7 linked regions of the Rattus norvegicus genome follow. The protein of the gene in region 3 interacts with the protein of the main gene of each other region in a pairwise test. Links are inferred from orthologs where the notes say so. Each region holds a gene or a part of one and is shown on either strand. Other genes may lie near its edges.

The links.
Region 1: the proteins of Snca (region 3) and Csnk1d interact in binary tests that used the Homo sapiens proteins (3 or more experiments, as listed by UniProt). The link is inferred for Rattus norvegicus from reciprocal best matches to the Homo sapiens genes SNCA and CSNK1D.
Region 2: the proteins of Snca (region 3) and Usp8 interact in a two-hybrid assay, tested with the Homo sapiens proteins (2 studies listed by BioGRID, with this or other methods). The link is inferred for Rattus norvegicus from reciprocal best matches to the Homo sapiens genes SNCA and USP8.
Region 4: the proteins of Snca (region 3) and Arfgap1 interact in binary tests that used the Homo sapiens proteins (3 or more experiments, as listed by UniProt). The link is inferred for Rattus norvegicus from reciprocal best matches to the Homo sapiens genes SNCA and ARFGAP1.
Region 5: the proteins of Snca (region 3) and Sqstm1 interact in binary tests that used the Homo sapiens proteins (3 or more experiments, as listed by UniProt). The link is inferred for Rattus norvegicus from reciprocal best matches to the Homo sapiens genes SNCA and SQSTM1.
Region 6: the proteins of Snca (region 3) and Bcl2l1 interact in binary tests that used the Homo sapiens proteins (3 or more experiments, as listed by UniProt). The link is inferred for Rattus norvegicus from reciprocal best matches to the Homo sapiens genes SNCA and BCL2L1.
Region 7: the proteins of Snca (region 3) and Tor1a interact in a two-hybrid assay, tested with the Homo sapiens proteins (2 studies listed by BioGRID, with this or other methods). The link is inferred for Rattus norvegicus from reciprocal best matches to the Homo sapiens genes SNCA and TOR1A.

Annotation. Positions count from the first base shown.
Region 1 is NC_086028.1:106,734,189-106,737,688, forward strand, and holds part of Csnk1d (casein kinase I isoform delta), read right to left. Parts: exon of another isoform or gene 2,399-3,500; coding exon 2,250-2,398; exon of another isoform or gene 1,404-2,249; coding exon 1,175-1,403; exon of another isoform or gene 766-1,174; coding exon 595-765; exon of another isoform or gene 1-594. UniProt on the Homo sapiens protein: Essential serine/threonine-protein kinase that regulates diverse cellular growth and survival processes including Wnt signaling, DNA repair and circadian rhythms. It can phosphorylate a large number of proteins.
Region 2 is NC_086021.1:134,446,526-134,450,025, reverse strand, and holds part of Usp8 (ubiquitin carboxyl-terminal hydrolase 8), read right to left. Parts: intron 1,649-3,500; coding exon 1,088-1,648; intron 1-1,087. UniProt on the Homo sapiens protein: Hydrolase that can remove conjugated ubiquitin from proteins and therefore plays an important regulatory role at the level of protein turnover by preventing degradation. Converts both 'Lys-48' an 'Lys-63'-linked ubiquitin chains.
Region 3 is NC_086022.1:91,025,974-91,029,144, forward strand, and holds the end of Snca (alpha-synuclein), read right to left. Parts: intron 2,114-3,171; coding exon 2,030-2,113; intron 1,097-2,029; coding exon 1,064-1,096; 3' UTR 501-1,063; downstream 1-500. UniProt on the Homo sapiens protein: Neuronal protein that plays several roles in synaptic activity such as regulation of synaptic vesicle trafficking and subsequent neurotransmitter release.
Region 4 is NC_086021.1:188,474,476-188,476,742, forward strand, and holds the end of Arfgap1 (ADP-ribosylation factor GTPase-activating protein 1), read left to right. Parts: intron 1-460; coding exon 461-537; intron 538-719; exon of another isoform or gene 720-806; intron 807-1,099; coding exon 1,100-1,436; 3' UTR 1,437-1,767; downstream 1,768-2,267. UniProt on the Homo sapiens protein: GTPase-activating protein (GAP) for the ADP ribosylation factor 1 (ARF1). Involved in membrane trafficking and /or vesicle transport.
Region 5 is NC_086028.1:35,034,951-35,038,914, forward strand, and holds the start of Sqstm1 (sequestosome-1), read right to left. Parts: upstream 2,801-3,964; 5' UTR 2,767-2,800; coding exon 2,568-2,766; intron 610-2,567; coding exon 514-609; intron 273-513; coding exon 46-272; intron 1-45. UniProt on the Homo sapiens protein: Molecular adapter required for selective macroautophagy (aggrephagy) by acting as a bridge between polyubiquitinated proteins and autophagosomes.
Region 6 is NC_086021.1:161,761,976-161,766,049, reverse strand, and holds the start of Bcl2l1 (bcl-2-like protein 1), read left to right. Parts: upstream 1-1,274; 5' UTR 1,275-1,340; exon of another isoform or gene 1,341-2,715; intron 2,716-2,781; exon of another isoform or gene 2,782-2,799; 5' UTR 2,800-2,911; coding exon 2,912-3,475; coding exon of another isoform or gene 3,476-3,766; exon of another isoform or gene 3,767-4,074. UniProt on the Homo sapiens protein: Potent inhibitor of cell death. Inhibits activation of caspases. Appears to regulate cell death by blocking the voltage-dependent anion channel (VDAC) by binding to it and preventing the release of the caspase activator, CYC1, from the mitochondrial membrane.
Region 7 is NC_086021.1:34,647,921-34,650,169, forward strand, and holds the end of Tor1a (torsin-1A precursor), read right to left. Parts: intron 1,088-2,249; coding exon 837-1,087; 3' UTR 501-836; downstream 1-500. UniProt on the Homo sapiens protein: Protein with chaperone functions important for the control of protein folding, processing, stability and localization as well as for the reduction of misfolded protein aggregates.

The sequences.
Region 1 (3,500 bases), on a different chromosome or scaffold from region 3:
GAACTCAGGCCTTAGGGAGACTGCTTGGAAAATAAATTCAGCATGTAAGCAAAGGTACAGTTCAATGGTAGAATGTGTCAAGGCTTGCACAGCACGTGTGAGGCCCTGGATTCCATATCCTGCACCCTCCACATCCTCCAAAGGGTCAGACACCAGAGCAAAATTTAGACATTGAGGGCATTCTTATCCCAGGAGCAATTTCCCTCAACAGGAAAACTCCCTCGGAAATGGCTCTAGGAGGTGAGGGTAAAGATGGTCAGTTTTAGATGTCCTTAGGCCTCCCACTACTGTGTTCCTTCCCCAGTCATGGGGGTCATTTCCCAAGGCTCAGTCCTGCCTCATTCCAGTCTCTTCTGGGCCCCACAGAATACCTTGACCAAAGTGCTTAGGGATTGGGAGTGGGATGACGTGGTGGTGGTGGCAGGTCCCACTGCCACCTTCATATAAGTGCCCATTTCATGTAACTCTTCTCAGAAGGTGAGCAAGTCTGACAGCACAGCCAGAGGCTCTCCATATGAGCATCTAGTCAGCACTGGGACAGGTGGCTGCTGGCATGCCCCAGCAAATTCTGCAGCAAGGATGTGAGGGACTCACAAGGATAGCCCTTGCACAGCACTTCAATTGGAGTGGACATCTTCTTCTCACTGATCCTCTCATACTTCTGCCTCTTGGTGGCGGCCTTCAGCCCCTGCCAGGGGAGAGAGCCCAGGTTGAAGTACATCAGCACGTACCCCAGAGACTCCAAGTCATCCCTTCGAGATTGTTCTGGAAGAAAAAGGGAACTATGTCAAGGATGGCATGTGTGTGTGTATAAAATCAATACCTGGCAAACAAAAAATTAGAAACTTCAAAAATAACAGAAAAATATACTTGCAGAATTATGTCACCAGAAGTTGTCCCTCACATTTGTTAAAGAAACCCCCCCTTAAGACTTCAGGGGAGCAACATCAACATCTTGAAGAACTGCTGGAGAAGCCAGCTTCTGCTACCCCACTGTACTTGGCAATACAGAGATTCTGGTTGCTCAATTCTGCTTGTCTGCTACCAAGGTTGGCTAACAGCTTCCACATCTCTCATCACCTAGGCTGCTACATAAGTTGGACTTTCCCTAATCTAAGGGATGGACATGCTAAAGGTACACAACGTCAAGTGATCCATCTCTGTCAGGGCTCACCAATGCCAAGGTGTGTGTTGATGGAGGCATAGCGTGCTGTCCCTGTGAGGTTCTTGTTCTCTCGATAGGGGATATGCTGGTGGGTGCGGGCATCCCGATACTTCTTGGCCAGCCCAAAGTCAATGATGTAGACCAGGTTGCCTTTCTTTCCCAGCCCCATGAGGAAGTTATCTGGTTTCACGTCTCGGTGGATAAAATTCTTCGAATGAATGTACTCAATACGACTTATCTACAGAGAAACAAAGGTAAGACTGAATCTCATAGTGGTTCATGCTGGAAAAGGAGGCTGCCTGGCAGTGAGGCTCCCATTACACATTCTCTTCTCTACTTTCTGGAGAGCAGTGATTTCAGTTAAGGTAGTCTTCTCTCAAGGTATCCTCAACTCTCTGTCCCTCGACAGGCCCAGACATTTTTTTTCTCTTTAGTTCCCAGAGGAATAGGTAAGACAGCAAGCTGCTTGGTTATGGTTCACATCAGATGGACTTTGAATGAGTCATAAACAAGAATTTTCATGAAAACCATTCAAGTGTTGCTACCAAATGTGGACTCCCTGAGAGAACTGAAAGTCCATTCGATATGGATACAGGGAGGAGGGGGGAGAGAAGTTACTTTCTTTTTTTTTTTTTTTTCTTTTTCTTTTTCTTTTTCTTTTTTTTGAAGCTGGGGACCGAACCCAGGGCCTTGCGTTTGCTAGGCAAGCGCTCTACCACTGAGCTAAATCCCCAACCCCGTGAGAAGTTATTTTCTAATTCAATCATCTTGAGGCCAAGATTAAACAAATCCCCCTTTCTTTCTATGCACAAATGGATGTAATAATGGAGATATGGCAACCTAGTAATTTGTTTAGTTTTTTGAGATGGGGTTTCACTATGTAGCCCTTATGGGCCTAGAACTTGCTGTGTAGACTAGGCTGGCCACAAACTCATAAACATCTGTCTGCCTCTGCCTCCTGAGTGCTGGGATTGCAAGCCACCATTGCCAATGTAACCCAGTAATTTACTCTAGTAAGCCAGCAAGCACATGCCAAGTGCTTGCTACACTGCCTGAACACTTCAGGAAAAGGGGTATTGCTTACCATTTGGTCAGCAAGCAACAGAACAGTTTTGAGACTAAACTTCCTTGAACAGAAGTTGAATAGGTCTTCCAGGCTGGGTCCCAGTAGCTCCATCACCATGACATTGTAGTCCCCCTCAGCCCCACACCATCTGATGGTAGGGATGCCCACTGGAAAAGAAACCAAACACAGCACTTCAACCCATGCTACTGTATCATATCACTTCTATTCAACTCGACAGGTGTTTAGCAGATTATGTCTGTGGGTGTTCAAGGGGTTCAGACGATATTGGCAATGTCTGCCCTCGAGTGTGATGTCCACTTGTAATTAAGCTAGACACAGTTAGCACGTGACAAAGAGCAAGCTGACAGGAGTCAAACAAGCAGTGGCAGCAAGTGAGGTAGTTGATTTCATAACATCAGCATCCATGGAAAGAGAAAACATCAGGTAAGACAGGTCCAGAGAAGCCAGCCGGATGCCACAGTTGCACCAGTGAGGCTGGAATCAAATGCTGAGGAACTAAGGAGAAAGAACTGCCATGGCTTGTAGAAGAGAGAAAAAAAGCGTTTCCTTTTTCCAATATCGATGGGAGAAAAGCAAACACAATGACAACTTCTTGGAGAGTCATTCAGATTTTGAAAACACCAACTGGTAGGAGAGGGAATAAAAGAAAAAAAACAAAACAAACAAAAAACCAGGACAAATCCAACATTAAGAAACCAGTCAGGTGTGGTGATATGCTTATGAGGTAGAGCTCTAGGATCAGAATGTTCACACCTTGGGCTACATACTAAGACCCTGTCTAGAAGAAAACAGCAATCACGCCACCGAATAGCCCAGAACTCCAAATGAGGGAAGAACTGAAGGATGCCTTCAGATATTAGACCTGAAAGCAGTCAATTCTAAACACTCTCTACTTTTGAAGAATGGGACAAAGACCAAGTATTTTATCTAAGAGCATACACAACAGTCACAAAAAGATGGTCAGAAAAAAGCTGAGAGCACTTGAATACTGCTAGGAACAAGGATGCACAAAGCAGCTTTGCTCAAGTCAAAGAGCAAGCGCTACAGAGAAGCTTTATACGATGCCTTGTGCTCTCCTCTGCCTACCACCAGAGCATGAGGTCTAGGAAGCTCCACCTACTGCCACTGGCTTTTACCATACGCACTCCACTTTTGGTTCTGTCATGAGCCCAAGGCCTCTCTTTCCTTTCATGTAAAACATTGAGTGGAGCTTCAATGTGAGTTTAGATGTTTCCGGTGAGATCCTAC
Region 2 (3,500 bases), on a different chromosome or scaffold from region 3:
TGTCTAAACAATGCAAACTGACATGTGTGTGTGTGCAGAGCCTATAATACTTAGCCACATGGAGAAACAGGCTGCCAATACATGCTACAGCATGAACATGGGAGCTCTGCTGGGTAAGGGGCTGGAGACATGGCTCAGAGGATAAGAGCACAGGCTGCTCTTCCAGAGGATGTGGGTTCCCAAGACACGTGCTCTTCTGCCCTCCTCAGAGGAACTGACATACATTCAGGCAAACATCCATACACATTAAAAAAAAAGTCTAAATTTTTTTTTTCTTTTTTCTTTTTTTTCGGAGCTGGGGACAGAACCCAGGGCCTTGCGCTTCCTAGGTAAGCGCTCTACCACTGAGCTAAATCCCCAGCCCCAAGTCTGTAAATTTTTAAGTCACTGACTAACTGCATGTTAAAAACAAGTAAATTTTATAATATGTAAATACCTAAATTAAACTATTATTAAACCTATCAGACTGAAAATAAAAACAAAAAGAAAACTTTGAAGTCTCTCTGAAAGGTGTATTTTATTGCCAAGGTTAACACTGAGCTCACTGGGAATTTCATACCCCTAAAGAGAAAAATGAGTCAGTGAAGGAAATAAAGCTCAACAGAATGTGAAGCGCTGGTTTACAATGCGGTGTAAAACGTTAATTTTTCATGTGTATTCACTATGCTCTCAGACTCTACTGGCGTTACATACTACTCAAAATGCAAGGTCTATTTATTAACTAAAACCTTTTTTAAAAAAGATTTATTTATTTATTTTATGTATATGAGTACACTGTTGCTGTCTTCAGACACATCAGAAGAGGATATCTGAACCTATTACAGATGGCTGTGAGACACCATGTGGTTGCTGGGAATTGAACTCAGGACCTTTGCAAGAGCAGTCAGTGCTCTTAGCCTCTAAGCCACCTCTCCAGCTCTAAAACCTTATTATTATTATTATTATTATTATTATTATTATTATTATTATTAACTTGAGTATTTCTTATATACATTTCGAGTGTTATTCCCTTTCCCGGTTTCTGGGCAAACATCCCCCTAATCCCTGTGTCATCATCTTATACACATTTACTGTTTGTTTTACCTACCTTGCCTGCACTCAGCTCTCCCGACATGGAGGATGCAGACGACACATCTGCTGGCCTCTTCTGCACTTCTGACATGGGACACCTTTTACCTTCCACAGATACCTTAGCATCGGAAGCATCGTGTTCACTCTTACTTTGTCTTTGCGTTCCTGTGGCGTCCTGGGCCCCATCTGCTGGGGGCTCTCTGTCTTCTGCCTTGGTCTGTTTGCTGTCTCTCTTCTCTTGTCCATCCTTTGCTTTGTGCTGATTCTCAGTGAAGTCCCGTTCTTCTGCATCCTGGGTCTTTCCAGCTTTGCGCTCTTGTTCCTCCCTTCTCAGCTTCTCTTTCTGTTCCTTCTGCTGCCTTTCCCACAGTTCCTTCTCCTGTCTATTCTTTTCCATAAGAAGGGCTGTTTCTTCATGAATGCGAGCCTTTTCTTCATCTGTTAGCATGGTGGCTGGAGAGGTAAATACTGGCTTGGTGGATCGGTCAGAAAGAACTCTTCCACTCTGATCTGTACTTTCAGATTTCATTCTATGATCTTCAGGCAACTTAACTGCTGGTTTTTTTGTACGATCAACCTGGAGAAACACAAATAGAACAAAATTTGCTTTTTGTGTTGTTTTTGAGACAAGTTCTTACACATAGGCTAAGTTGGCCCCAAACCTACAAATTTTGCTTCAGCAAAATTTAGGAGTATTACTTTAGTTTCCGTTTGCAATCATGTGTTCTGGGCTCACAAGAGTTACATGTCTTAATGATTGACCACAGAACCAAGACTGGACAGACGAGTCTGAAGCTCCATACTGACACACCCATCTACCCTCCCCATCTCCACAGAAGTGCCACACAATACCTCACATCCAGCATGGCCAAAGATGAATGTATGATGCCCACGATACAGAGCGTCCCCTCACTCTCCACACAGCTCTATAAAACCATGGCAGTTCAAGGCCATGTTCTTCCCACAGCTTTCTGCTGCCTGATGAGATTCCTTTCAGCTTTACCAGCTTTGAGACTACCAGGAAGCCTACTGCCTAACTCCAAAACTCCAGAAAAGCCTCCACCATTTCCAGCTACATATCTGATGTGCCCAGCATAAGTGTGAAAATTAAAAGATAATTTTCTCCCACCTTTATGGAACACCTTCTAGGAATTGAATTCAAGTCACCGGGTTTATTTGGCAAGAGCCTTAACCTGTCACTCATCCATTGTAAAACAAATCTGACCATGTTTCTCTTTCGTTTAATAAAATCCTATTTTACATTGCCATTCATATTTAAGTTGTAATTCATATACATATACTTAAGTACATAGACCTATAAACAAAATGAGTAAATGAATTAAATAAACTTTATCATAGCCAGTCTACTACTCATTCTTTAATACTTAAACATTTTTCTTCCTTTATTTTTAATATTTATTTTTATTTTATGTGCATTGGTGTTTTGCCTGAGTGTAAGAGTCTGTGTGAGTGTGTCAGACCCCTGGAACTGGAATTATATATAGGCAGTTGTGAGCTGCCATGTTGGTGTTGGGAATTGAACTCAAGTCCTCTGGAAGCGCAACCAGTACTCTTAACGCTGAGCCATCTCTCCAGCCCCAACATACTTACTTATTTTGTGTGTGTACACCGCATGTGAGTGTGAATGCAGAGTCAAGTGTGGAGGTCAAAAGACAACTCTCGGAAGTTGGGCCTTTTCTCCCACGTTGCAGGGTTCAGTGACTGACGCTGACCTCAGGTCATCAGGCCCATGCATGAATGCCTGTACCCACTAAAGCATCTCACCAGCCCTACTTCTTTATTCTTATCCCTGTTATACATTTTAAAGCTATTATTAATTGTATTTACTTGGTAGGGAGAGTGAGAAGACAGCCTGCAGGAGTCAGTTCTCCCCTTCTACCACATAGGTCCTAGGGTTCAAACTCAAGTCATTTTTAACTACTGAGCCATCTTGTTGGCCCCCCATCTTACTTTCTGAAACAGGCTCATGATTCCCTTACTCTGGCCTCCCCGGTTCCAGGATTCCAGGTGTGTGATGCTACACTTGGCTTTCATGTGGCTGTTGGGGCCCTGAACTCAGATCCTCATCCTTACACAACAGGCTCTTTACTGACTGAGCCATCTCCCCAGCACCACGTCTGATTAAGAAAGCTGCCATATACCTAGAATGTGAGCACCGAGAGGTGCTTTAGCTGCTCCAGCAATATTGTGAGACGTAATCCTAACATTTCTTGAAAATAGTGTGTGCAAAACAGAAAGGAGAATGTAACTGAGAACTTCTTAATAATGACTTATGCAGCATGCTTATTAAAGGTATTTTATGTTAACATTAGAACAAAGTTACTGTTTTTTCTTTTCACTTTTATTTTTTGCCTTCTTACTTTTTCATATAAGCAAAGAAATCCCTCAAATAAACAGAATCACTTGTC
Region 3 (3,171 bases):
CCAGGGTGTTGAGGTGTGAGTGGGTGGGTGTGAATGGGAGCACATTCATAGAAACAGGTGGAGGAGGGATGGGGAATGGGAAAGGTACTTCCTGAGTTCTTCCTTACACACACACACACACACACACACACACACACACACACACACACACACACACATGTGTACATGCAATAAATTAAGCAGGTTCTTCCACAGCCTGCCTTGGATATGCTAATATGTCTTATGAATATGTAAAAGGGCTGTAGTCGCTATCCCTCACACCTTTCAGTTCCAATGAAGTGTTTCTCAGTGCTCCCACAGCTCTGAGCAGGACTGTATATCAAGCTGGCTGTGGGCAATGGCACTGGAGAATTCCTCCTGCAGGAGAGAGTTCCATCTCTAACACTTCCCAATTCTTCAAGATAGTGTTAAGACTTTACATTCTAGTTCATTTTGTCAGCTGTTATTTCATGTTCATGCTCCTGATACGCATGATTTTGTTACTAAAGTGAAACAGGAAAAAGGTTTTGCAATGAGATAATGTTTTATTTTATTTTAATTTCCACCATTTATATACAAACACAAGTTAATAAAACACGTCACAAAACTGTAAAATTCATAAATTAATATTTATAGGTGCATAGTCTCATGCTCACATATTTTAAAATATATATTAACAAATTTCACAGCACATCATTCTTCTTAGACAGAAAGAATCATTAAGGACATCTAAAAGTCTTATAGCAAATCACAACTTCTTGAGAACAGCAACAAAAAACGGTGAAGAGTTAGAAATAAGTGGTAGTCACTTAGGTGTTTTAAGTTTCTTCTAACATTTTAGGTTTGAAGCCACAACAATATCCACAGCACACAAGAGCCTGCTACCATGTATTCACTGTAGTGAGAGGGGAGCACCGGGATGCTGAGGGGCAGGTACAGGACTCCGATCACTGCTGATGGAAGACTTTGAAATACACTGTACAGCTTTGAGAAAAGGTCATGACTGGGCACGTTGGAACTGAGCACTTGTACGCCATGGAAGAACACCTGGGCAGATCTTAGGACAGTGGGTACAACGACATTCTTAGGCTTCAGGCTCATAGTCTTGGTAGCCTTCCTAATATCAGGAAAAAAATAAGAGCATGCCTTGTCAGTGAAGTGACAGTTATCAACTGTCTGCTTCACAGGAGGGAGGGCTCAGCCTTTCAATCAGATAAAATTGATCCTCAGCTCAGTGTTTGGGGCTTATCTGTCATGAACATGTATTGGTTTTTCCATACGTAGCATCTGTACGTTATAGGGGTCATCACAGATTATTAGGCCTAATTCTAGATATATCCTTTGATCTGTGATTTCGTGCTGCAGTATGAATTGGCTGGGGCTCTGATTTTCTCCTTTGCTCTGCGTTGTGAGCCGTGAACACCTAGGTGAGCTGCATAAAGCCTCCTCCAGAGCTCATCCTTCTCCTTTCTCCCCCATTAGGAAACCCCACCTTCATGAGAGGTTTCCACACAGGCTCATTTATTCTAAAGCCTGAGCCTCCTGGACAAAATCTAGGTAACATTCATAACAGGAATGGTACTTCCTCAATTAATTGATTATATCAGGATTCTACTGTTAAACTAAACCTATTATCAAACTCTTTTTCAAATGTCAATATAAACTTAAATGACAAAGTTAATTTGGGACTCTACAGTTTGTCTATAACCTTAATTATGTCTTCAGCCTTAATCTATCATATTTTATGTTTTCTAAACATGATTCATAACTGCCCATTGTTGCTCAGGCATTTTCATATGCCTTTGTTTCTGGTAACCTCTTGTGCTAGAATGTTCTAAAATGTTCTTCCTTTGACCTGCCATATCCCTTACTCTCTTCCACAAAGATTAAAATCATTTTCTCAAAACCCTTTTTATGATTGAACTACCCAAACCATAATATGAGGGAGATGTGATAGTGGCTGAGTGTTGCACATAGGCATTTACCTCTGAAGGTACCTAAGAAAATACCTAAGGGTATTTTTCTTGGTTTTCTGTTTGTAAGCATTTACCTCTGAAGGCATTTCATAAGCCTCACTGCTAGGGTCCACAGGCATGTCTTCCAGGATTCCCTCTTGTGGGTACCCTTCTTCACCCTACAGACAGGGAAGTGAAAGCACAGTAAGATAGTGTTTTCACTACTGAAGCATAACTTGAAAAAAAATTATGTCAGGTATACCTTCAAGGCGCTACAAGAAGTGTTCTCAGAAGTGCATTCTTCAGAATTACCGAGCCAAACTGTACCAAACCACCAGAGAAAAACATCATGCAAACATGGGTTACCAATCTGAAGCTTTCAAAGCTTTTGCCCAAGTAACTCATTACCCAGGAAGTTGCAAAGCAAAAGACCCTAAGTTCTCTCCATGAGCACAATGTTATAGTAGCAATGATTTGTAGTGAACTGGTAATGATGAATCAAATAATGGCAAAATATTCTATTTTTTTCTGAAATCATGATAATTCTCTAATAGGGACGACTTAATTTTGGTGTAATGTTTAACAGGACATTGTTTGTGGACAGAATCCACACAACACTTGAATCCGAAAGTAAAAATGTTCCAAGAAAGTGGAACTAATATACAGACACATCATTATGGTTTTCCCTAAATTTGTTAAGGCAAAGTCCATGTGTTTTGTAATTCATTGTTTTATTTTATTTTATGTGTAGGGATATTTGCCCTGTGTGTAGGTCTGTGCACTATGCATGTGTGGTGAAAACAGAGGGCAGAAGAAAGCATCACATTCCCAGAAGCTTGAGCTGTAGACAATTGTGATTCTCCATACAGATGCTAGAACATAAACTTGGGTCCCCTGGAAGAAAAACATATGCTCTTAATGACTAAGCTATATTTCTGGCTCCAATAAATTCATTTATAAATGCTCCCAAAGAAATAGTTCTCTTTGGAAATCTGGAAATTATACATACTTGAAGTTAAAAAAGAAGCCAAAGATTAGATTGGACAAAATTTCAGATTATCTCTCCACAGTGCTGACATCATAGCATTCAGTCTGACATGATGTGCCTTCTTTGTTTTCTCCATCAAAGGCCTTTTTGTTCTTTCCCGTTTGTTCCACCAAAGTAATTACTGAATGATAGAGTTCAGCAAATATTCAAAGAACAGAGATGTAACTGGAGCCTAAATGGGCTAATTTG
Region 4 (2,267 bases), on a different chromosome or scaffold from region 3:
GTAAGTGCCATTGTCAGCTATTGCTGGTCCTGTGACCTCAGGGCCTAGTGTGATGGGGGCGGGTTCATCAGACTTCACAACACGATGGCAATAGAAGATGTCTCCTGAAGTCTTCCATTGCATTGTAGTAAAGACAAGGCCTACAGTGGCTCACAGCTCTGAACAGGTCCCAAGTGTTGTGGCATTGGGAAGGCCATGCCTTTCACTATGTATGTGGCATTGTCCCAGCCATTACAGAAACTACTTCTGCAGAGATGGCAGAGAGATGCTCACAGCAAACTAAGCAGCCAAGAGCTAACTGTAACTTCACCACTGCTGCTGTGTTACTGTGCATAAGTGTGTGTGTATCTATATGTGACACTCCTCCAAGTTTTGTCTTAGCAGGGCAGCATCCATTTTTGTTGTTTTAGAGCCAGAGGTGCGATGTAGTATGTGGACTTGGTTTCCTGTCTCCTTCCAGGTCCAGGGAGTTGGCAGTAAGGGATGGCGTGATGTCACGACCTTTTTTTCTGGGAAAGCTGAAGACACTTCAGACAGGTAGTCCATGTCCTCACCCCAGGCCCTGGGTCCCTTGGGCTCCCTGAGGTGGCCTGGCCCCTCATCCTATGCCCAGTGCTGCACACGGTTCTTTACTAGAGGCACAGTGACTGCCCTCTCACCCCACCCCAGGACCCCTATCATGGACAAAAGCTTGTATCTTTTTTCCCAACACCCTACAGTTTGAGTGATGAATGGGAATGAGGTAGCAAGAGACAATCCCTTCCGAAAGTTCTGTGTCCTCAACACCAGGTTGGAGCCTTATCAAGGCAAGTCAGCTCTCAAAGGAAAAGGTCCCTCACCTGTAGGGTGCTCTGACTCTACGGGGTGGCTAGGAAGCACTTGGAAAGGCATGGGCCTCTTCCTAGCCAGGAAGAAAGCATAGAGCTGTTGCAGGCCTTGGCCACACCTTGGTCAAATGTAGGCTGGGCTTGTAAAGCAATGAATGGGTCTTGTTCTAGAGAGCCGTTGGGACCTGAGCAGATTGGGCAGCGTGGGGATACAGGAAGCACAAAGTATCTTTCTGTGACAACTCGTGAGATTTTGTCCCTCTCTGTAATAGACCCTTAGAGGGCCACAGCTACCAGAACAGCAGTGGAGACAACTCTCAGAACAGCACCATAGACCAGAGCTTCTGGGAGACCTTCGGGAGTGCTGAGCCCCCCAAGGCCAAGTCCCCAAGCAGTGACAGCTGGACCTGCGCAGATGCCTCAACGGGAAGGAGGAGCTCGGACAGCTGGGACATTTGGGGCTCAGGTTCTGCATCCAACAACAAGAACAGCAATAGCGATGGCTGGGAGAGCTGGGAGGGAGCCAGTGGGGAGGGAAGGGCAAAGGCTACCAAGAAGGCAGCTCCATCTACAGCCGCCGACGAGGGCTGGGACAACCAGAACTGGTAGGAGCCTTGCTGCACCCTAACCCAGCCCTGCTGGGAGACCGCTGTGTTTGCACTTTACCCTTGTTCCTCCTTCATTTGACCTCAGTGTGAAGACAGTGGCTCAGGCAGGACTTGAGTTGGTGCTGCCTGCCTGGTGTGGGGTGGCTTTCTCTTAGACCTCAGGGGACATGTCATCCACCTGCCTCTTGGGTCCTCTGAGCAGCCTTCCTGGATTCTGGGTTCTTGGGACCCAGGCACTGTCTCTGCAGCCCTAGCATAGCCTGGGACTGCAGCCCTGTGCAATGTCAGCTAAGCCAGACATCTGCTTTCGTTGAAATGTCTTTTTAAACTTGAAAGGTCTGCTAGTTCTTTCTTCTTGAAGAAAGTGCCTGGAGCCTTAAAGCTGGAAATGAAACGACAAAAGCAATACTGGAGCTCACACTGCCACCGACACCCTCACCTAAGTCCACAACCTGTGGCTTGTGCTGTGAAACTCACTTTGTGACCCTCTGCCTTTCCTGCATCAGCCTGTCCAGCCCTCAGTTAAATGGGACAAACTCTCCACAATGGCCACACAAAGCAGACTGGGCTCTGGTCTTTCTCGGACACCCAATTTGAACTTGGCCAGCCCTGGACAGCTCAGTAATGAGGAAAGGAGAGTAAGGGGTCTGGGACCGTTTTCAGTGTATCCGCCACCCCCACACGGTCCAAGGGAGCCTGAGCATGGAGGGTGGACTGAGGGGCCACCTGCCACTGCCAGGGTCAGGCATTTTAATGGGCACCTGTTAGCATTTGCCATGTATTGTGTCTGTGACAGCCCAGGCCTTCTCCCAGCCTGCTCAGGCTGCTCAGA
Region 5 (3,964 bases), on a different chromosome or scaffold from region 3:
CCACCCTGTCCGACACCGCCCCAGGACTGCAGAGAACCAGCTCACATCAGAGAGGTGGCCAAAGGGGTTGGGAAAGATGAGCTTGCTGTGCTCCCTGTGCAGGCCCTTCCCCTCGCAGACGCTGCACAGGTCGTAGTCGGGGCACACACTGCACTTATAGCGAGTTCCCACCACAGGCCCATTGCAACCATCACAAATCACGTTGGGGTGCACCATGCTTCGTGCCTCCTGAGCACATGGGGGGCGATGTTCCCGCCGGCACTCCTTCTTCTCTGCAGGGAGAGTCCAAGAGTCCAATTTAGTTGCAGGTAAACCACTTAGGAGGCCAAGAGGTACCAAGCCCTGCTCTGTTCAACACCCATGGCCCACACAGCAGGACCTTTGTACCTCTGACACCTCCCAACCCCCCTATATCCACCCCAAGGCATCAGAACTCATCTCTGTCCTAGAGACAACTCAGACCCCTGAGCCTTAGAGGAAGTCCGATGGGAAGTACCTGGATGCAGTCTTTACCTTTAATGTAGATGCGGAAGATGTCATCTTTCACATAGGACATGGCCATTGTCAGTTCCTCATCACTGGAGAAGGCGACCAAGTCCCCATCCTCATCTAGATTGTTTAGGAAACAACATATCAGAGCCAGGGACACAGCTCATTGGTGGAGCGTGCAGAAGACTTAGGTGCCATTCCCAGAACTAGAAGCCGAAAGGGCAGCACAGGTACCCAGCATCTGCTGGATGCCCACTGCTATGTACAGGGAGCCCAATGGTAAGGGACATCTACAGAGGCTCTAGACGCAATCTGAGTGCTGGAGCAAGCAGCCAGATGGCCACTCATTCTGATATGGCGTGAGTACATGTTCTAACCCAAGTCCTAGATCCGGTACATGCACAAGGCAGAGCATATGTCATGTGTGTAAGGGTCCAGCTTCCTGCCACAAACCACTGGGCCATTTGTGCCCTCAGGCCACACGTAAGTAGGCCAGGTCCATTTTCACCTGGGAGATTCCAGCCAGTACCCTGTCCTGATGGTCCAGCCCTTCAAAGGCCTCAGGCTTCAGAAGGAAAGGAGGTAAGCCCATCTGTCCCCTCCCTTCAACTACGTGACCAGAAACCACTGTGCATTCAGACGCTGTCTAAGTTGTTCTGAGGTTGAGGTTGCTCTGTTGGTTTTGTTTTTGTCAATTCTAGGTTTTCTGCGCCCTGCCTGGCCTGAGACTGCTTAGAACAGGACAGCCTCCAACTTGTGTAGGTGAGCCTCCTTAGTGCTGGGATCACAAACATATGCAACCAAGCTGCCAAGTGGTTTGGGTTTTTTTGGGTTTTTTTTCTTTTTTGCCTTTTGATATTTACTTTTACATATGTATGTACGCACTTGAACACACAGACACACACACACACATACACACATGCACACTTATGTGTATGCATGTGCCACGAAGGCCATAAGAGGGTGTGGGATCCCCAGGAGCTGCAGTTGATATGAGCGCTAGGAACAGAACTTGGGTCCTCTGGAAGAGCAGCAAAGGCTTTAACCACTGAGTCATTTCTCAAACCCATCTGCTTTCATTTTTACATTAGCACACAGGTACTGGGAGCGCAGCCATATATTTCTATGTCAGTACAAACAGTCTTCAACCACCTCATACAGGACAAACCACACATCTGCAGGCTAGGATATATATATATATATACATATATGTGTGTGTGTGTGTGTGTGTGTGTGTGTGTATCAGGCTAGGCTATACACACACACACGTAAAATTTATAAAAAAAAAAAAGATTCTAAACCGAATGTGATAATAGTTATATAACTCACTTTTTAAAAAATGCAAGGAGTTTGGGGGGCGGGGTGGTAGCTCAGTCAGTCGAGAGCCTAACATACATGAGGCCCTAGCACAAAGATGACTCGGAAGGACATTAAGACCTGGGTGAATTGTACTGGACCTAGGTTAAAACTCACTTACACTGAACATTTTTTGTCCAGAATAATCCCTATGATTCCTGCACTGGAAAGCTGAGACAAGAGGATTGAAGTGAGGCCAGCCTAAACCACTCGTAAATTCAAGGCGAATCAGGCTACGTGGCTTTATCTCAGAAAAGAGACAGACTGATCAACCAACCTGGCCTACCCACAGTCCTCCATAAAGAGATCTCAATCTTATCCCCTCCCAGGGGGAGGGCCTTGTCCACTAGTCTCTTGTCAACAACTTCTAGCTCCACCCCATGCAGCCATCAACCACTGCAACGCAAGAGACGGAGCTAGTTCCGGGGTCCCCTACCTCCCTTCCCACGGGCTGCCCCACCCCGCCCCCGCCGCTTATTTACCCGCGTCACTGCTCTCCACCCCTCCTCCACATCTGCCCGGTCCCAGCTCTTCCGGGCCTTTAACTGAACCCATCACCTGATGATACGAGGAGCAAGCGAACCGCGGGATGTCAGCTGTAACCTGAGCGGCCGCCTGACCACCCTGTCCCCGCGGGCAGCCAGAGGACACGCCATCGCGTCCTCGCCCAGACCTGATACTCCGCGGCGGGGGAGGATGGCTTCCCCGCCCCGAGCCCTTACCGCGGTAGTGCGCCTGAAAGCCTCCAGGCCGCAGCGCGGGGAACAGCACAGCCACCCGGCTCAGCAGCCTCTCGCAGGGCCCCGGGCCAGCCGCGGCTTCCGCCTCCGGCTCCGGGCTGAAGCAGAAGCTGAAGCGGCGGATCTCGCGGGCCGCCTCCTCCTTGCCCAGTAGATAGGCCTTCACCGTGAGCGAAGCCATAACCGCAGACTAGGTACGGAGGAAACAGCTGGGCAGCGGCGGCTCCGAGAGCCCAGCTTTTATAGGATACGGGGGGAGCCCCGCCTCGTGGGGGGCGGAACCTCTCTGAGCTCCGCCCCTCCCCGCTGTCCGGGCGGCCGCTCGAGGGCCCTTGATAGGACCCCTGACAGGTATGGGGGCGAGACGCCCCCACCGCCTCCTCTTTTTCTTTCCCTCCGAATGCATGGGTGACCCCAAGAGACCAGCCTCAGTCTCAGTTCGATGGGAAAAGGGCCGGTAAGTATCCGAGCCTAGGCTCCTCCCAGGTTTGGGCCTGCTTATGACTCAGCAGTGTAGTCCCCAAGCCAAGGGGGATGGATGCCCCAGCACAGAGGCTCAGACGACACAGATGCCTACTGTCAGGTAGCCATTCCTTGGCCAAACAAGCTGTTTCACGGGATACTGTTCCAACCCTCCCAAACTTAGTGTCCCCCGTAGTAGCCCTCCACCCTACTCTCTCTTCAGGCATCCACCATGACCAGCCCCTCACTGAATAAAGGGACATCATCCATATGTTAGGCCTGATCCAATTTGACAAAGACTGGATGTTGGACTAGCACTGGTGACTTCTCACAAACCCACCCTGTAGGAGGGGTAGCCAGGGCTCCAGAAACTGCAATAGTCACCACTACTAAGACTGAGATTCCTCACAACAACCCACATAATACACACACACACACACACACACACACACACACACACACCACAGCACACAGGCTCTAAGGGCGGAGGGGAAGGAGCATGTATCTCAGGCCTTAGTGGCTTCAAAGAGCACAAAGGAATCAGACCACTTGCCCTCCAACTAGGAACTAAAATACAGGCTTTAGCCAGTCCTGTGACACAGACTTGTTATCCCAGCTGTTTGAGATGCTGAGGCAAGAGAATACCAAGTTCAGGGTCTGCCTGAGCAGCTTGGTGAAGCTGTTTCAAACTAGAAAGTGATCTGAGTACTTGGGAGGCCAGAGGTTCCGGAGTTCAAAGCCAGCCTTGGCTACAAGAAGCCTCTCAAAAAAAGGGGGGGGGGGGGCAAAATAAAGAGGCTGTCTATGCAGTTTAGTTAGGATACAACTCATGGGGATTTAGCTTAGCATGGATATACTCAGGGAGATTTAGCTTAGTAGGGATACAGGTCATGGGAATTTAGCTTAGCATGGATATA
Region 6 (4,074 bases), on a different chromosome or scaffold from region 3:
CACCAGGAGGCTGAGATCCCAGTAGCTCTCAGTCCACAGAAGCTGAACTGCTGCTATGAGTTCAAGGTCAAGGGCAGCCCAAGTTAAACAGCTACATAACTAGACCCCGTATAAGAAGAATGAACTTGCCTCACCAGCTGAGGATGGGAGTTCCACTCCTGAACACGATTTACTCCTAAAAGTTGTCCTCAGACCTCCAGATAAACATGGTGGCCCATACACACCCACACTCACGTGCACATACCCCAAAATAAAATAAACTTTTGAAAAACTGAGTTACTGCTAGAGTTATCCGGTAGAAAGCCTGACTACCATGCACAAAGCTCTGGGTTTGATCCCCAGCAACACAAAAACTGTGTATAATAGCGAGACAGAAGAGGTGGCTCAGTTGTTAAAGGCTGGGCTCACAAACAAACATATGCTACATAGTTCGAGATGGTGTAAATAAATGTCTTTCTACTGCACTGGCCAGCCAGAGTCGGGGTTTGCATTTTTTTTTTTTTTTGGTTCTTTTTTTCGGAGCTGGGGACCGAACCCAGGGCCTTGCGCTTCCTAGGTAAGCGCTCTACCACTGAGCTAAATCCCCAGCCCCGGGGTTTGCATTTTTAAAAGGATCATTCACTCATTCACTCTAAAGCAAATCTCGTTTCACCATGATTATCACAATGTCAGGATTTTCTCCCCTTAGAGTTTACCTTGCGTATTTTCCTAGTTGGATATTGCCTCCACCCCTAAGGTATAAGTCTTCATAAAAACAGAGACCTTGGGGTTGGGGATTTAGCTCAGTGGTAGAGCGCTTGCCTAGCAAGCGCAAGGCCTGGGTTCGGTCCCCAGCTCCGAAAAAAGGAAAAGAAAAACAAAAAACAAAAACAGAGACCTTGCCTTGCCTCGTTCATAACCGTCTTCAACAATCCAAAGGCTTTCTAGTCTTCAGACTTTTCAAGTAATATCGATACACAGTCAATGAAAGGTCAATGCTGCTGTCTATTTGTAAAGTGAGGGGGGGAAATACACAAGTTGGGAAACCTGTCCGATGTCGGACACCCAGGAAAAAGCACTTTTTCTGTAGTATACAAACGGATAGATGGATGAAGGAACTAGATTGATGGAATGTGAACCATTAGCGTTCCATGCGCCTGCGCTTCCTCAAATCGCTCGCCAGGGGGCGCTGCTCTCCCACGTCTCAACGCCAGTCCCTCCTGGCGCGCACTCCTTTTGCGTCTCGGGCTCGCGCGCGCTGCCGCGGCACCGGAAGTGACTGCGCTTGCAAGTTCCCCCGGTCTCTTCAGGGGAAACTGAGGCCGGCTTCTCCGGGAGATTCGGCACGAGCAGTCAGCCAGGTAGGCCAACCCAAGTCCGCGGCGTACTTCCCAGCCGCAAAACGCCCTCGTATCTGGAAGCCACTGGGCCGATGAAGGGGGGATGTGGCCCCCCACGGCTCGCTGGGCTCTCAGGTGAGGGCGCCGCCTCCCCTGTGCCTGACAGGCGCTTCGCCCAATGGGAGCCTTGGCCGTCCCGCTTCCGTGCCGACTCGACCCGCGGATTGGCTAAGCTGGGGCGGGCCGCGGGGGCGAGACCCCTCCTTCCAGAGAGGTCTAGGGGGCGCCCCTGAGGGAGGGCGGTTGCCTAGCAACGGGGCGGTGGCTCGGCGGGTACCCGGCCTAGGGGAGCGCGAGCAGTAAGCGAGGCCTCAGCCCACCCACCCGGGGCTCCAACGCGTAGCGGCCTCCGGTCCTGGAGCCCTGCAGGGGGCTCCAGGAGGCCGCCTTGGGTCGGGTCTCAAGAAAACGAGGTCTCCGCTGTGGGAGCCTCAACCCTTCTTCCTGGCCAGTGGCGGGGCTCAGCGCCTCCCTCTCACCCCGTCTTTGTGCGGGGTGCCGGCGGCCATTGTGTCCGGGCGCGGAATGGAGGACCTGGCAGTCCCCCAGTGCTATGTCCAGAGCCTTTGGGGAATTCAAAGACAACTAGCGGTGTTTGTGGGGGGTCTCCAGCCTACTCCTCTTGGAAAGGCCCGGGAGTGGTCTTTCCGAAATCAGATCGCAGATCCGAGGCCGTCTCCCCCTCCCCGCGTCCCTGCGCGAAACCTTGAGATTCACTGAGAAGTCCCTTTAGGGTTTCGGAAGCCTCATCCAGGGCTGGTACTTAAATAGAAAGAAAGAAAGGAGGGGTGGGGGGAAATTACACTAAACCCATACCTCCGGGAGAGTTCTCCTGGCTCCCAGTAGGAGGCGAGAGCCAAGGGGCGTGCTAGAGCGAGGGGGTTGGGCTCCCGGGTGGCTGGAGGCTGCGGAGCAGAGAGGCCGCCCTCGATCTGGGCGATGGAGGAAGCAAGCGAGGGGGCAGGTTCCTAAGCTTCGCAATTCCTCTGGCCTGCCTACCAGGTCGCATGATCCCGGCCGGGACCGGGGTTTTTTGCTGAGTTACCGGCGACCCAGCCACCACCTCCTCCCGACCTATGATACAAAAGACCTTCCGGGGGCTGCACCTGCTCTCTGTCGCCGGAGATAGATTTGAATGTAGGTGGTGGTGGTGGGGATGTGCCAATGGGGGTGACTTTTGGAGAAAGGCATTTCGGAGAAAAGGGGGTGGGTGGTTGTAGTAAAAAGAGGCTGATGAAACAATTCAAAGCTTGCTGGTCCTTTCAATTTGACTTCATTGAAGTCTCTTAGAACCTGGACTCAGACCTTCATAAGAGCCACAAAGAAACCAATTCTGGTAACTGGGGGAGGAATGGGGATTTTGTAAGGTAAATGACATGCATATTAAAATTTTCTCCTGAAGCTCTTTCTCTCTCTTCAGAACCCTATCTTGGCTTTGGATCCTGGAAGAGAATCGCTAAACACAGAGCAGACCCAGTGAGTGAGCAGGTGTTTTGGACAATGGACTGGTTGAGCCCATCTCTATTATAAAAATGTCTCAGAGCAACCGGGAGCTGGTGGTTGACTTTCTCTCCTACAAGCTCTCCCAGAAAGGATACAGCTGGAGTCAGTTTAGCGATGTCGAAGAGAACAGGACTGAAGCCCCAGAAGAAACTGAACCAGAAAGGGAGACCCCCAGTGCCATCAATGGCAACCCATCCTGGCACCTGGCGGATAGCCCCGCGGTGAATGGAGCCACTGGCCACAGCAGCAGTTTGGATGCGCGGGAGGTAATCCCCATGGCAGCAGTGAAGCAAGCGCTGAGAGAGGCTGGCGATGAGTTTGAACTGCGGTACCGGAGAGCATTCAGTGATCTAACATCCCAGCTTCATATAACCCCAGGGACAGCATATCAGAGCTTTGAACAGGTAGTGAATGAACTCTTTCGGGATGGGGTAAACTGGGGTCGCATTGTGGCCTTCTTCTCCTTTGGCGGGGCACTGTGCGTGGAAAGCGTAGACAAGGAGATGCAGGTATTGGTGAGTCGGATTGCAAGTTGGATGGCCACCTACCTGAATGACCACCTAGAGCCTTGGATCCAGGAGAACGGCGGCTGGGTAAGAACCACGCCCCTTGTGTGTCCGCCCCTTGTGTGTCTCTCCTCTGTGGAGATCCCTAACTGCCCTTTTTGGTCTCCTGGCATGGTTGTTGAAGATATCGATTATTCAGGAGACATTCCTGGCTTCACTTTAATACCAGGGGTTAACTTTGGGAATATTGATGACCCTGTTTTTAAGGAACCTGTATTTTTCATTCTGGCTACCCTTGTGGCCCCGCAGTTTCATAGTTTTGTTCCAATTTCTCGGCAAAGAAAAACAGCCTGTGTGTTTACTTGGCTTAAAACCTAGGAGAGTAGCAAGTTCTCCCTGTGTTCTGCTCACTCTCACGTAATGGGTCACCTTGGCTGGGGGGAGGAATATAATACCTGGAGGAACTGCAGAGCTGATAACCCCAGGCTCCTGTGTGCTCGCATGCATGCTATTCAGACCATTTGGTCAGGCAGGAGCCCCACTGGCTTGACTGGCTGAATATTGTCTGATTTTAGAGAAGGTGGTCTGAGCCAATTGTGTTTGTGCTGTGCCCCTAAGTTCATTTTCACCATGGTTGGCTTGTTTGGGGAGCCCTTGCTGTGCCCCAGGACTTTGTACCTCACTGC
Region 7 (2,249 bases), on a different chromosome or scaffold from region 3:
TTCAGGTGAGTGGTCAGACCTGACATGACTCCTGGGGACGAGGAACCATTGCTGGAAGCCCTGGGCCACTTGAAAAGGGGCCTTGAACAGGCTGTTAGCAGAGGCAGAGTGTGGTCCTGCCAGCAGTTGGCCTAGCTTTGACATTAGGTTCTTTTTTCTCTGCTAAACCCAGCCCTGTGAGGGCTGTGAGTGACAACCACAGCTACAGAAGTCCAGCCCAGCTCTGGCAGGTGCCCATGAATTGCATAAAACACACCTATCCAGAGCCCTGTTGTGCATGGCATCTGGAGTGGCCCTGACCGTCACGCAGGACCATTAAGCTCACTTGTCTTATTCCTAAGGAGTCCAGGCACATCTGTGGTGCAGTCTCATCTAACCACTCATGGCCCCTCAGGGCCCTTCAGCCCCCTGGTTCCTGAGATACCTACCATTCCATGCCACAGATGTCCGTGCTTGGTGATGTTACCCAACAGTTTGAAAAGACACACACAGCCAACAGCTGAAAGGCTTCTCATAGTATTAAAAACCATTTTAAATAAAGTTATCACATTTGCAGTAAAACTCACTTGTCCTGCCTCAAAACAGAAACACTTGAAATTAAAACATAATTTTAAAAAAATCATGAGCCCAGAATGGGCAGGCTGGAAGCTGGTTTCGTCCTTTGGAGGCTCCAGGAGCTTTAGGTCCATGTTGCATCTGTGGTCCCTACATCATGGCCACCTGCAGGCTCCAAAGAGCAGAAACCGCCCCTGATGGGATCCCCGCTAGCCTCAGCAGGAAGTGTCCAAGCCTCTTGTGGGGAGAGGAGCGGACTACAGAGCACCTGGCAGCAGGGCTCAGTCATCCAGGTAGTAGTCCAGCTTGGTGAACACAGTCTTGCAGCCCTTGTCAGAGAAGACCTTCTCCTCCTTGGGGAAGAACGTCATCTCTTCAGCTACCTTATTGATTATGTCCTCATCTTCTTCATAGCCACGGGACTGCATCTCAACTCTGATGCACATTTTCAGGTGCTTGTACTCCAGGGGCAGGAAGGGGACAAAATAGTCTATGAGGTTCCGGTCAATGAGGCTGCTGTGCCAGAAGCCACCTGTGAAAGACAGACAGACGCCATGTCATACTGAGTAGTAACGGAGTGATTACTACATGTTCATGGGGCCTGTTTGAGCCAGAGCGAGGAGACCATGCTCCACACAGTGAGGGAGGGAGACAGGAGTGGACAACTGCCTATGAACACTGCCTTGGGCTGCAGCTGTGACAGCAAGGGCAGGGGGACAGAAAGGGACCTCTGGGGTTCACTAAGAACCTCTTTAACAGTGCACACCTTTAATCCCAGAACTCCAGAGGCAGAGGCAGGTGGATCTCTGGAGTTTGAGGCCTGCCTGGTTTATAGAATGAGTTCCAGGACAGCCAGGGGCTACATAGAGAAACCCTGTCACACAAATACAAAATAACACCAACACTTATTGCTTGTTGCAGAGGACCTGAGTTGGGTCCCAGTATTCCTCAGGCTGCTCACAACCACACACTCATACACACACACACACACACACACACACACAATAATGAAAAACACAAAAAAGCTTTCAAACGGGTGCTCTAGGCTTAGAAAGGCCTCTCTAGTGTGCCTTAGAGATGGGAGGCAGACCAGAGGGCCACATGTACCATACTGTGTGCTGGGACCCAGGCAGTGTGGTGGGAAGCTGATGGACAGGTTGGAAGAGGTTCCAAAGAAGAGATAAGGGAGGGCTATCATAGACTTCACCAGTCAGTCTCCAGCTAGAGCTTCCACAGCTGAGCCTGCATGAAGGCATCGGCAGCTGCTGCCTGCCAGTGCCTAAACCATGCAGAGCATTCTGGAAGCAACACCTAGACTCCTGGGGAGTAAGGTGCGCCAACAAGGCTGTGCACCACACAAGTCTGGGCTCTGACATCTTCCCTACAAAAGCCGGGCCCTGCCTGGCTCAGCCTCCCACCTCCCAGTCCTGGAACACTCGACCCAGCACCCACAGGACGCCCCAGAGCACCCAGGTCACGTCTTGATGTCCTGCTTAGCCTATTGATCTCTGTGCTCTGGCTCCCGTGAAAGCTGTGCAGAGAGCCCGGGGTCTGTGTTCTCCCAATGGTGCTCCACACATACAGTACTTGGGGGAGGACCTGTGGCCACAACAAAGAACAAACCAACTGTGGAGCAGTCACCAGTGTAACTTCTGCGTTGAAGGCCTACTCTGTGCCAGATGCCAAGACCTGAG